2 linked regions of the Arabidopsis thaliana genome follow. The protein of the gene in region 2 interacts with the protein of the main gene of each other region in a pairwise test. Each region holds a gene or a part of one and is shown on either strand. Other genes may lie near its edges.

What was found.
Region 1: the proteins of NAP (region 2) and IAA14 interact in a two-hybrid assay, tested with the Arabidopsis thaliana proteins (one study listed by BioGRID).

The regions. Positions count from the first base shown.
Region 1 is NC_003075.7:8,347,888-8,352,176, reverse strand, and holds IAA14 (indole-3-acetic acid inducible 14), read left to right. Parts: upstream 1-1,913; 5' UTR 1,914-2,253; coding exon 2,254-2,474; intron 2,475-2,665; coding exon 2,666-2,895; coding exon of another isoform or gene 2,896-2,996; intron 2,997-3,032; coding exon 3,033-3,168; coding exon of another isoform or gene 3,169-3,172; intron 3,173-3,480; coding exon 3,481-3,598; downstream 3,599-4,289. UniProt on the Arabidopsis thaliana protein: Aux/IAA proteins are short-lived transcriptional factors that function as repressors of early auxin response genes at low auxin concentrations.
Region 2 is NC_003070.9:26,120,181-26,124,170, reverse strand, and holds NAP (NAC-like, activated by AP3/PI), read right to left. Parts: upstream 2,092-3,990; 5' UTR 1,939-2,091; coding exon 1,773-1,938; intron 1,676-1,772; coding exon 1,395-1,675; intron 1,309-1,394; coding exon 949-1,308; 3' UTR 657-948; downstream 1-656. Other genes in the region: CYP704B1 (cytochrome P450, family 704, subfamily B, polypeptide 1), read right to left, coding at 1-211. UniProt on the Arabidopsis thaliana protein: Transcription activator that binds to, and transactivates the promoter of the abscisic aldehyde oxidase AAO3.

The sequences.
Region 1 (4,289 bases), on a different chromosome or scaffold from region 2:
GAGTTACCCATCAATAAATATCTACTGTTCGTGTTTTTCAGTCATATTCTATGCATTAAATGTTAATAAAATCCGATCTTTCAAGGATTTCAAAAATTAGTATTGTTTGGGTTATTAGATTGTTCTTGCTATCAAGAAAACCAAAAAAAGGAACAAGCAATGTGTCTTTGTTCGACAGTGCACCACCAATCTGAAAATAATTAGACTACTTCTTGGGCAAAACATTTATTTAATTTTTCTATGCTCCTAGAAAGTAGAAACGGCAAATTACGTAGATAAGTAGAAACAAGTTTACCAGAAATCTCCAATGTAGTGCAAGTAGAATTATTCGTTGGGCTCTCGGAACTCGGAAGCTAATGCTAAAATAGTCCATCATGAATGTAGTGCATCTGTTTTACTAATGGTTTGTGCTAATTAATGTTGTTTATATATGATAGGCTTCCGCATAAGTGATGTTGCTTTTTATTTTATTTTTATTACTAAAAAGTTTAGGCCTAGGAACATACGTCCTCTCAAACTAGAGCATTTTATATGGTTTCTTTCCAAATGTCATTACAACTGGTGATTTCTAGGTTTTGTCTTATAGTCTTTAACAATTGAGCTATTAACACTCAGTAAGTAATGTTATTGACATAAAAGAAATGTTTATTTGTAATATGATCAAATTTAACGATATATTATCAACCAAATAGTTTTATAATAATTATTTGAATACTAATAAAAATAAATATAAATGACTGTATATGTCGATAATATTAAATTTACATGATCTTGATTTACTAATACTCAGTTAGATTGTAACTTTTAATATTTTCATCAGATTTGAATATCAACTTTTGCTGGATATTTTAACTTTTTAAGTAAAGTATTCATTATGGTGTTATTAATTAAAAGGATTATGTATCATTGGAATATTTTATTGTATCTAAAATAATAGTCATTTTATTTCCAAAGATTTCCAAAGGATATTATCCCATAACCACAAAACAATGGGTGGTATAGTTTATATAGAGATCGCAAGTAAAATCCATGTGCACTTTTAGCTTATTTAAGTTTTGAACGGCTCATTATATTCTTATTATTTTTGATATCCAATGATTAACTAAAATCAATGATAAGAAATTTGATTATAATACGTCTAAACAAAGAAAATGTAATTGAGCATGCTAATAAATATAGTCACAAAGCCGCACTTTCCGTCGAACAAATTATACGTTCATGTGTGGTTATACTTGAACCACATGATTGGAAGGTTCGGAAGACAAGCTTATTTTAATTTGATTATGCTCTTTAATAATGATTTAATGGACAACTGAACAAGCCCATTTTCCTAAAATTGCCCCATCATTTCCCGGAATTTCAGGACAATGTTGAGAGAAGATGGTCCAAATTGAAGTAAAATATATACTAAGATTGTTATCATTGATTATTTGTTGTACGTCTTAATTAGGATCAAACTTAGTTGGTCATAACTATTTTCACCGATGCTGACTTCGAAAGTTTTAAGAAATATAATTATATGATTAAATCATATAATAATGTTGACCAAATACGATTCACGGAATTTTTACCGCCCAATTTCTGTATACATGTGATGTGATACGTGAAGAGTTGACCAATGGAGGCAACGTCTAACAAATTGGTAGGCAATTAAAAAAGTACATTAATCATAGAAGTGATCAATAAAGACATTACTTAGACATGTTGAAAGAGGTACTCATGTTTTTATAATATCATTTTTATTTACTCGGAATCTTAATATATTTTCATTTTTATTTACTTAACATATTTTGGGCAAACGTATGTTCGTATTTTCAAAACCTAAGAGATGTAACAATATCATTCAACAATCAACGGTCATCACTCATCACCTATACTTTTCAGGTTATTGACATGAAAGAGTGAGATTTACTAAAACAACCTACCAACGTTTAGCAGAAGGCCACGTGTTGAGAACCCACATTGCAAGAAAATGTAGGGATTCCATGCACTACAGCAGATACACAATAGACCTTTGTATTTTAATAGTTAAAGAATTAGAAAAGTCAGACGACTAATCACGGGTTTAAACCGTTTTTTTTCTACCACTATAGTATAGTACTATAGTCTCTTTCTTCGTCCCTTATATTATCGACTCTATCTCCTTACCTCATTCTTGTTCCCCTCTTATCAAACTTCACCCCCAACAAGAGTTATCGAGAGAGAGAGAAAACATATTCTGATTTAAGACATATATAGACAGCAAGAAGAGATATGAACCTTAAGGAGACGGAGCTTTGTCTTGGCCTCCCCGGAGGCACTGAAACCGTTGAAAGTCCGGCCAAGTCGGGTGTTGGGAACAAGAGAGGCTTCTCCGAGACCGTTGATCTCAAACTTAATCTTCAATCTAACAAACAAGGACATGTGGATCTCAACACTAATGGAGCTCCCAAGGAGAAGACCTTCCTTAAAGACCCTTCTAAGCCTCCTGCTAAGTAAGTTCTATTTACACAATTCCTTAAGAAGAAGACCTTCCTTAAAAGGGAAGACTTTTTTTTTTTTTTTTTGAGATAAAAAGACTAATAGTTGATATAAAAGTTCTTAAAATACATATATATGAAAGATGTAAGGATGCATAAGTAATAACGTTATTGAATGTGTGTGTGTGTTGTTATATTCTATGCAGAGCACAAGTGGTGGGTTGGCCACCGGTGAGGAACTACCGGAAAAATGTTATGGCTAATCAGAAGAGCGGCGAAGCAGAGGAGGCAATGAGTAGTGGTGGAGGAACCGTCGCCTTTGTGAAGGTTTCCATGGATGGAGCTCCTTATCTTCGGAAGGTTGACCTCAAGATGTACACCAGCTACAAGGATCTCTCTGATGCCTTGGCCAAAATGTTCAGCTCCTTTACCATGGGTATGCATTTTCAGACATATAAGTCGAATTATCATTATTATTTTTGTGTTTACTTACAATTTTTTCTTTTTAACGATACAGTTTTTTCCATATACGACTAATTAATATGATAAGTTTTGGGATTTTGATTAATTAAGGGAGTTATGGAGCACAAGGGATGATAGATTTCATGAACGAGAGTAAAGTGATGGATCTGTTGAACAGTTCTGAGTATGTTCCAAGCTACGAGGACAAAGATGGTGACTGGATGCTCGTTGGTGATGTCCCCTGGCCGTGAGTTTCCTCATTCTTCTTGCTTTCATTATTATGACCAAAATTATTCTCTAAACAAAAAAAACAATATTCTCTAAAGCATTATTATTGATATTACTTATCAAAAAAATACACAAAATGATAATCAATATCCATGTGTTATAAACACGCACAGCCATCTTTTGGTTGGCATGGGACAGAACTCAGAGACAGAGAAGATGTTTATATATAAATACTAACTCATCAATATGTTACCTCATTTGTAGCTGGCACATATTCTTTCACTTTCAATAGATTTCTAAATTTAGTCACCAACCCAAATCCCGATTTCAGGATGTTTGTCGAGTCATGCAAACGTTTGCGCATAATGAAAGGATCCGAAGCAATTGGACTTGGTAAGTTTTCTTTTCTGTTCGTTTCTATAAGTGGCTCTTTTCTGTTTTTCCAATAATGCTCGTGTTTTTTTTTCAGCTCCAAGAGCAATGGAGAAGTTCAAGAACAGATCATGAACAAAAAAAAAAGAGGACAATATGCATTGATTTTTTTTTTTTGGTATTGTTATGATCATGTGTTTTTAATTTAAAATATTGGAAGTATATAGGAAAATATAATTGTTTACGAAAAAAATAACTTTAAATATGTCTTTTTTTTTTTTTTTGAAATTAGTCTGTGTTTTTGTTTTCATCTCTTAATTAGTAGAAATCATTTTTTAATATGTAATTGTGATAGTAAATCTATAGAGTTCGTATTTTTGCTATTTAAAATTTAAAATGCTAATACTATATATAATTTATGATAGGTAAATTTACGTTAAATAATTTATCTCCACTTTTCCTACTTTATTATTCTTTTCCTCTTTATTTTCTCATTTATTGGCTTTACAGATTATATTTGAAATTTGTAACTATTTTTGATGTATCTAAAAACATTTCACATAACAATTTCTTAAGAAAACTAAGAAAACTGTTGGTATATTTTTTGACTAAAATGGTTTCCAAAAAGATTTTGAAACGAACTAAAATCTTCATTACAAAACCAATTTTAAAACTACAAAACAAATATTCATGGTTTTAAGTTTCTTTTTTCTTTCCTAGTTACGTGGGAATACGTTATTAAATTCAGGACCCATGAGAGGCGTAGGG
Region 2 (3,990 bases):
TATAAGTAGTGAATGGCATTGGAACCACTACTGTTCTTGAGTTATAAAGATACTCAACGAGCCAATCATGCATTCGATCAAAATTAGTTAACTGTTCGATCGCTGCTCCAACCAAAGGCCAAGTCTTTGGACCACTCTTGTTTCTTTGTCCCCATCGGTGTAAGAAGATCCATGATGTTACCATACAAGCTATAACCAAACACAACGACATTTTTTACCTCTTTGAATCTGAAAAATAAGTTCTAAATAAATTCATAAGAGTTTTTATATTGTTTAGCAATCAGACAAAGTTTGTGACCAATCTACTAATCAACTAACACTCTTTTTTATTATGCCTTCTTTGCAACATTTCTTTGGTGTGTATTCTTTCTTAAACAAGTTTGGTTTCGTGGTTTTGTTAAACCGTGTTTGGTACACCAAAACCGGTCAAAATTGAAATTAGCAAAAAGGGTCCACATATTTATGATAAGTTACATCCACTAATGTTTGAGTCTGCGCAGACTGAATCAAAATGTGGTTTAATGTACGATGATGACGACAAGTAACATTCGTTATCTAATAAAACGACAAAGATAAGTACCCAAAATGCATTGTATCTGGCGTTGATTCCTCCACACGTCATCGACTTGTTCATTCCAAGTTAACGTAATCTCAATCTCTCTTTTTATCATTTTAAAAACATCGTAAGTTACAAAAGTCTTTTGTTTTATTAGTTCGTAATGTAAATCAACTTCGTGACTTCGTCTTATCATGCTGAAACAACTTAATTTTTAATTAAACATTGTTTTTCATTTCACATTCATATGGGAGAAATATAAAATCCCATTGGGTTTTAGTTATAATATTTTACAATTTTCATTCATGTACCCAAACTAACCAAATATCTACCAAAGTAACTTTTCAAGCACATCTTTTCTTGTTTCTTCTTCTTTTTTACTGACCCCATCACTAAAACTTAAACATCGCTTGACGATGATGGTTTAAGATCTCGTCTTGGTTAAACTGAAGGTCCCCGAACCAACTAGACTCCGAATCAGGTTGATGAAGATGATCGAACTGACTAAAATTATCAATGTGAGAGACGGGTCCCATGTAATCCATTTCCAACAAATGAGCCAGCGAACACGTCCTTGGAAGTTTCATCGACGTCATCATCATTATCTCTTCTTCAGTTCTTCTCTCTGCTTCGTTAACTACAACTTTTGTCTCATCCTCCATTAGTACTTCGTCCATGAAACCCTCTTGCTCATTCAGAAGCTTACTTGCTCCTCTCTTCTTGTATATCCTACACAGTACCCATTCATCTAACTGCAAAAATATAAAGAAAATTAACATTTTCACAAGTTGTAATAAAATATACAAGAGCTATAAACTTGTTTCCTCTGCTTACGTACCCTCATGGAACCGTTACGTTTCGTTGATGCTTTACGTGAATCATGGAGACGATACTCATGCATGATCCAGTCAGTTTTGATTCCTTTAGGAGGTCTACCTTTGTAGAAGACTAGAGCTTTCTTGACACCTACGTTACTTGAACCGCTGTGAATGGCTTTGTCTGTACCGGTTGCTTTCCAATAACCGGAAACAGCTGCCCGGTTTGGTCTGACTCCGTTTGGATATTTTCTTTCTCTAGGGCTGAAGAAATACCACTCATTTTCTCCAAACTCTGTTTTCTCTGTAAATACAAAACGAACAAAGCAAATAAGGAAAGTAGCTCTAAACATGAACATCTAGAAGAATAGGTTATCATTGAGAGATAAACCGGGTCTAACCGGGTAATTGCCATGGGTCGAATTTGTAGATATCAACTTCTGGGATGATGGAGACAGGGCATGGTTTAGACATGGTCTGGTTTCGAAGATAGTAAACGATGAGTTCTTCGTCGGTAGGATGAAATCTGAACCCTGGAGGGAGGGTAGATTGGGAAGTTACTTCCATGATTTTCAGACAATTTAGAAAACAATCTAATAGAACAGGAACTGTTTTTTTTCTTTCTGTGTTAGTTTTTGATGTTCTCAAGGTTCTTGAAATGTTTAGAAAGCAGAGAAGGTTTGGGTTTTTATGCTTGAGCTTTTTGTCGTTTACTGTGCGTCACTTCTTTCTTATTGGTTGGTACATTGGAAAATTAAATAATACTTCATTTTGTCCATCTAATAGTCTAATGTCCTATATTATCCCTATCCTATTGTTTTTTTCTAATATACTAAATTTTGTCAAATGGTCATCAAACAGCCACGGTTAAAAAGCTTTTAAAAGGAATTTGAATAAGATGTTGGAGTGTGACTGGTGAACTTATTGAGTAATTATTATTGTTCTTCACCTCTAAACACGTGACCTAAAAGTATATACTTTTAATAAAGCTATAATTCCTTAAAGTAGCTGAAACATTTTTCAGTTTAAATGATAATGTTACTATTGGATGACATATACTTAACAAAATACTGTATATAGTATGATAAATTATTTATTTTATTCTAAAATTTGGTTTACAATAGTCACACTCTTTGTCTTTCATGATTACTGATAAACATGATCAATCTAATCATGTTTATACTGATAATATGATATATATAGTCAATTCGGTATTTTGTAGTAACTTTTAAAGTTTTGTGTTCTATTGTTTGTAGAAATCGCAGATAGGGCCGGTTGTGTCTATAATTAATCATTCATAAAGCTTCATTATACGTTTTATGAAGAAGAATTGAGTCAGAATTATCAGGTAGCGTAGAAAATAGCTTTTGGTTGTGAAGATTCTAAAGGTCTTCGTGGACATATAATTGAGTGTGCTTGACCACTGATTTGTTTGGATGCATTGCATGGCTTTAGTATTAATAATTTAGGTGAATCTCCATTTCAAAGAGAAGTATATTCATTTGTCCTATTTCCCCAAATATTCGTTCTTCATTTCGCTATTATTGCTTTCCTCCTATCTTTGTCTACCCTATCCATTATCCAAATGTAAGCCCAACTATCAAAAGTCATAAGCAACATTATTTTCTCCACGATATAGTTTGCATGACAAAATATACACATCAATAACTTTATACTGCATATATAATAATACTGATATCTCAATAATCAATAACATACGTTTTTCATAAAACAAACTAGTAATTAAAAAGAATCCAAAGGAGAAGTACTAAAGAACTTGTATAACATAAAAACTAGTGTGAAGACCATTCTTGGTCTTAATTTTGGAAGAAACGTGGCATGCTACAAGGCTTGGGGGGTCCAATTTTTTTGCTTCTGAATGACGTGTCATTTTCACATAAAAAGTCATTAGGGATAAGGATTGTGGAGGGCATACACCCACGCGCCACGGCGGATTTCTGATTAAACAATAATTAGATGTCACTAATTACGCATGTTCTTATCTAATGGTGTCATTATTATTCCCTAATTGGGTGATTAAATCTTTGTTTACTACATTTGTCCAAAAAACTCCACACGCTCAATTCAGACTGGACACAAGTTTCTTGAAAATGGGTTTTGTGAGATTACTACAAGATGCGAAGGAACGTTCCAGCACAAAGTGGGAAAGAGGAGAAAAAACAAGTTCATGATTAGCTGTTTATTCTTGTTAATTTCATGATTTTGTTTCGCTATTGCCACAAATAATTGTTCATTAAACCGTTATAATTAAGTGGCGCATGAATATCTTTTAAAATTTTTCAAGAAACTACCTTGTTAATGGACAATCTAAAAATGCTATTCTAACAAATTAAAAGACCCCAAAAGCTATTTTACACAAGTGTACATGTATTATACTATATTTCAAATGGCACATGATTCATCATATGTTCATATACATCACCAAGCCAATTTTATATACTTACTATATAGGGCATGGGACAAAAAGGATAGGATTAAAAGATATGAGGATTAGGATGAGATGACGCAAACAAAAGCTCTAGCATCTTTGTTTAGATAAATTTAGTTAAGGAAACCAATTAAATATGAGTGACGATGATTAATCAAATCGTCATCTTA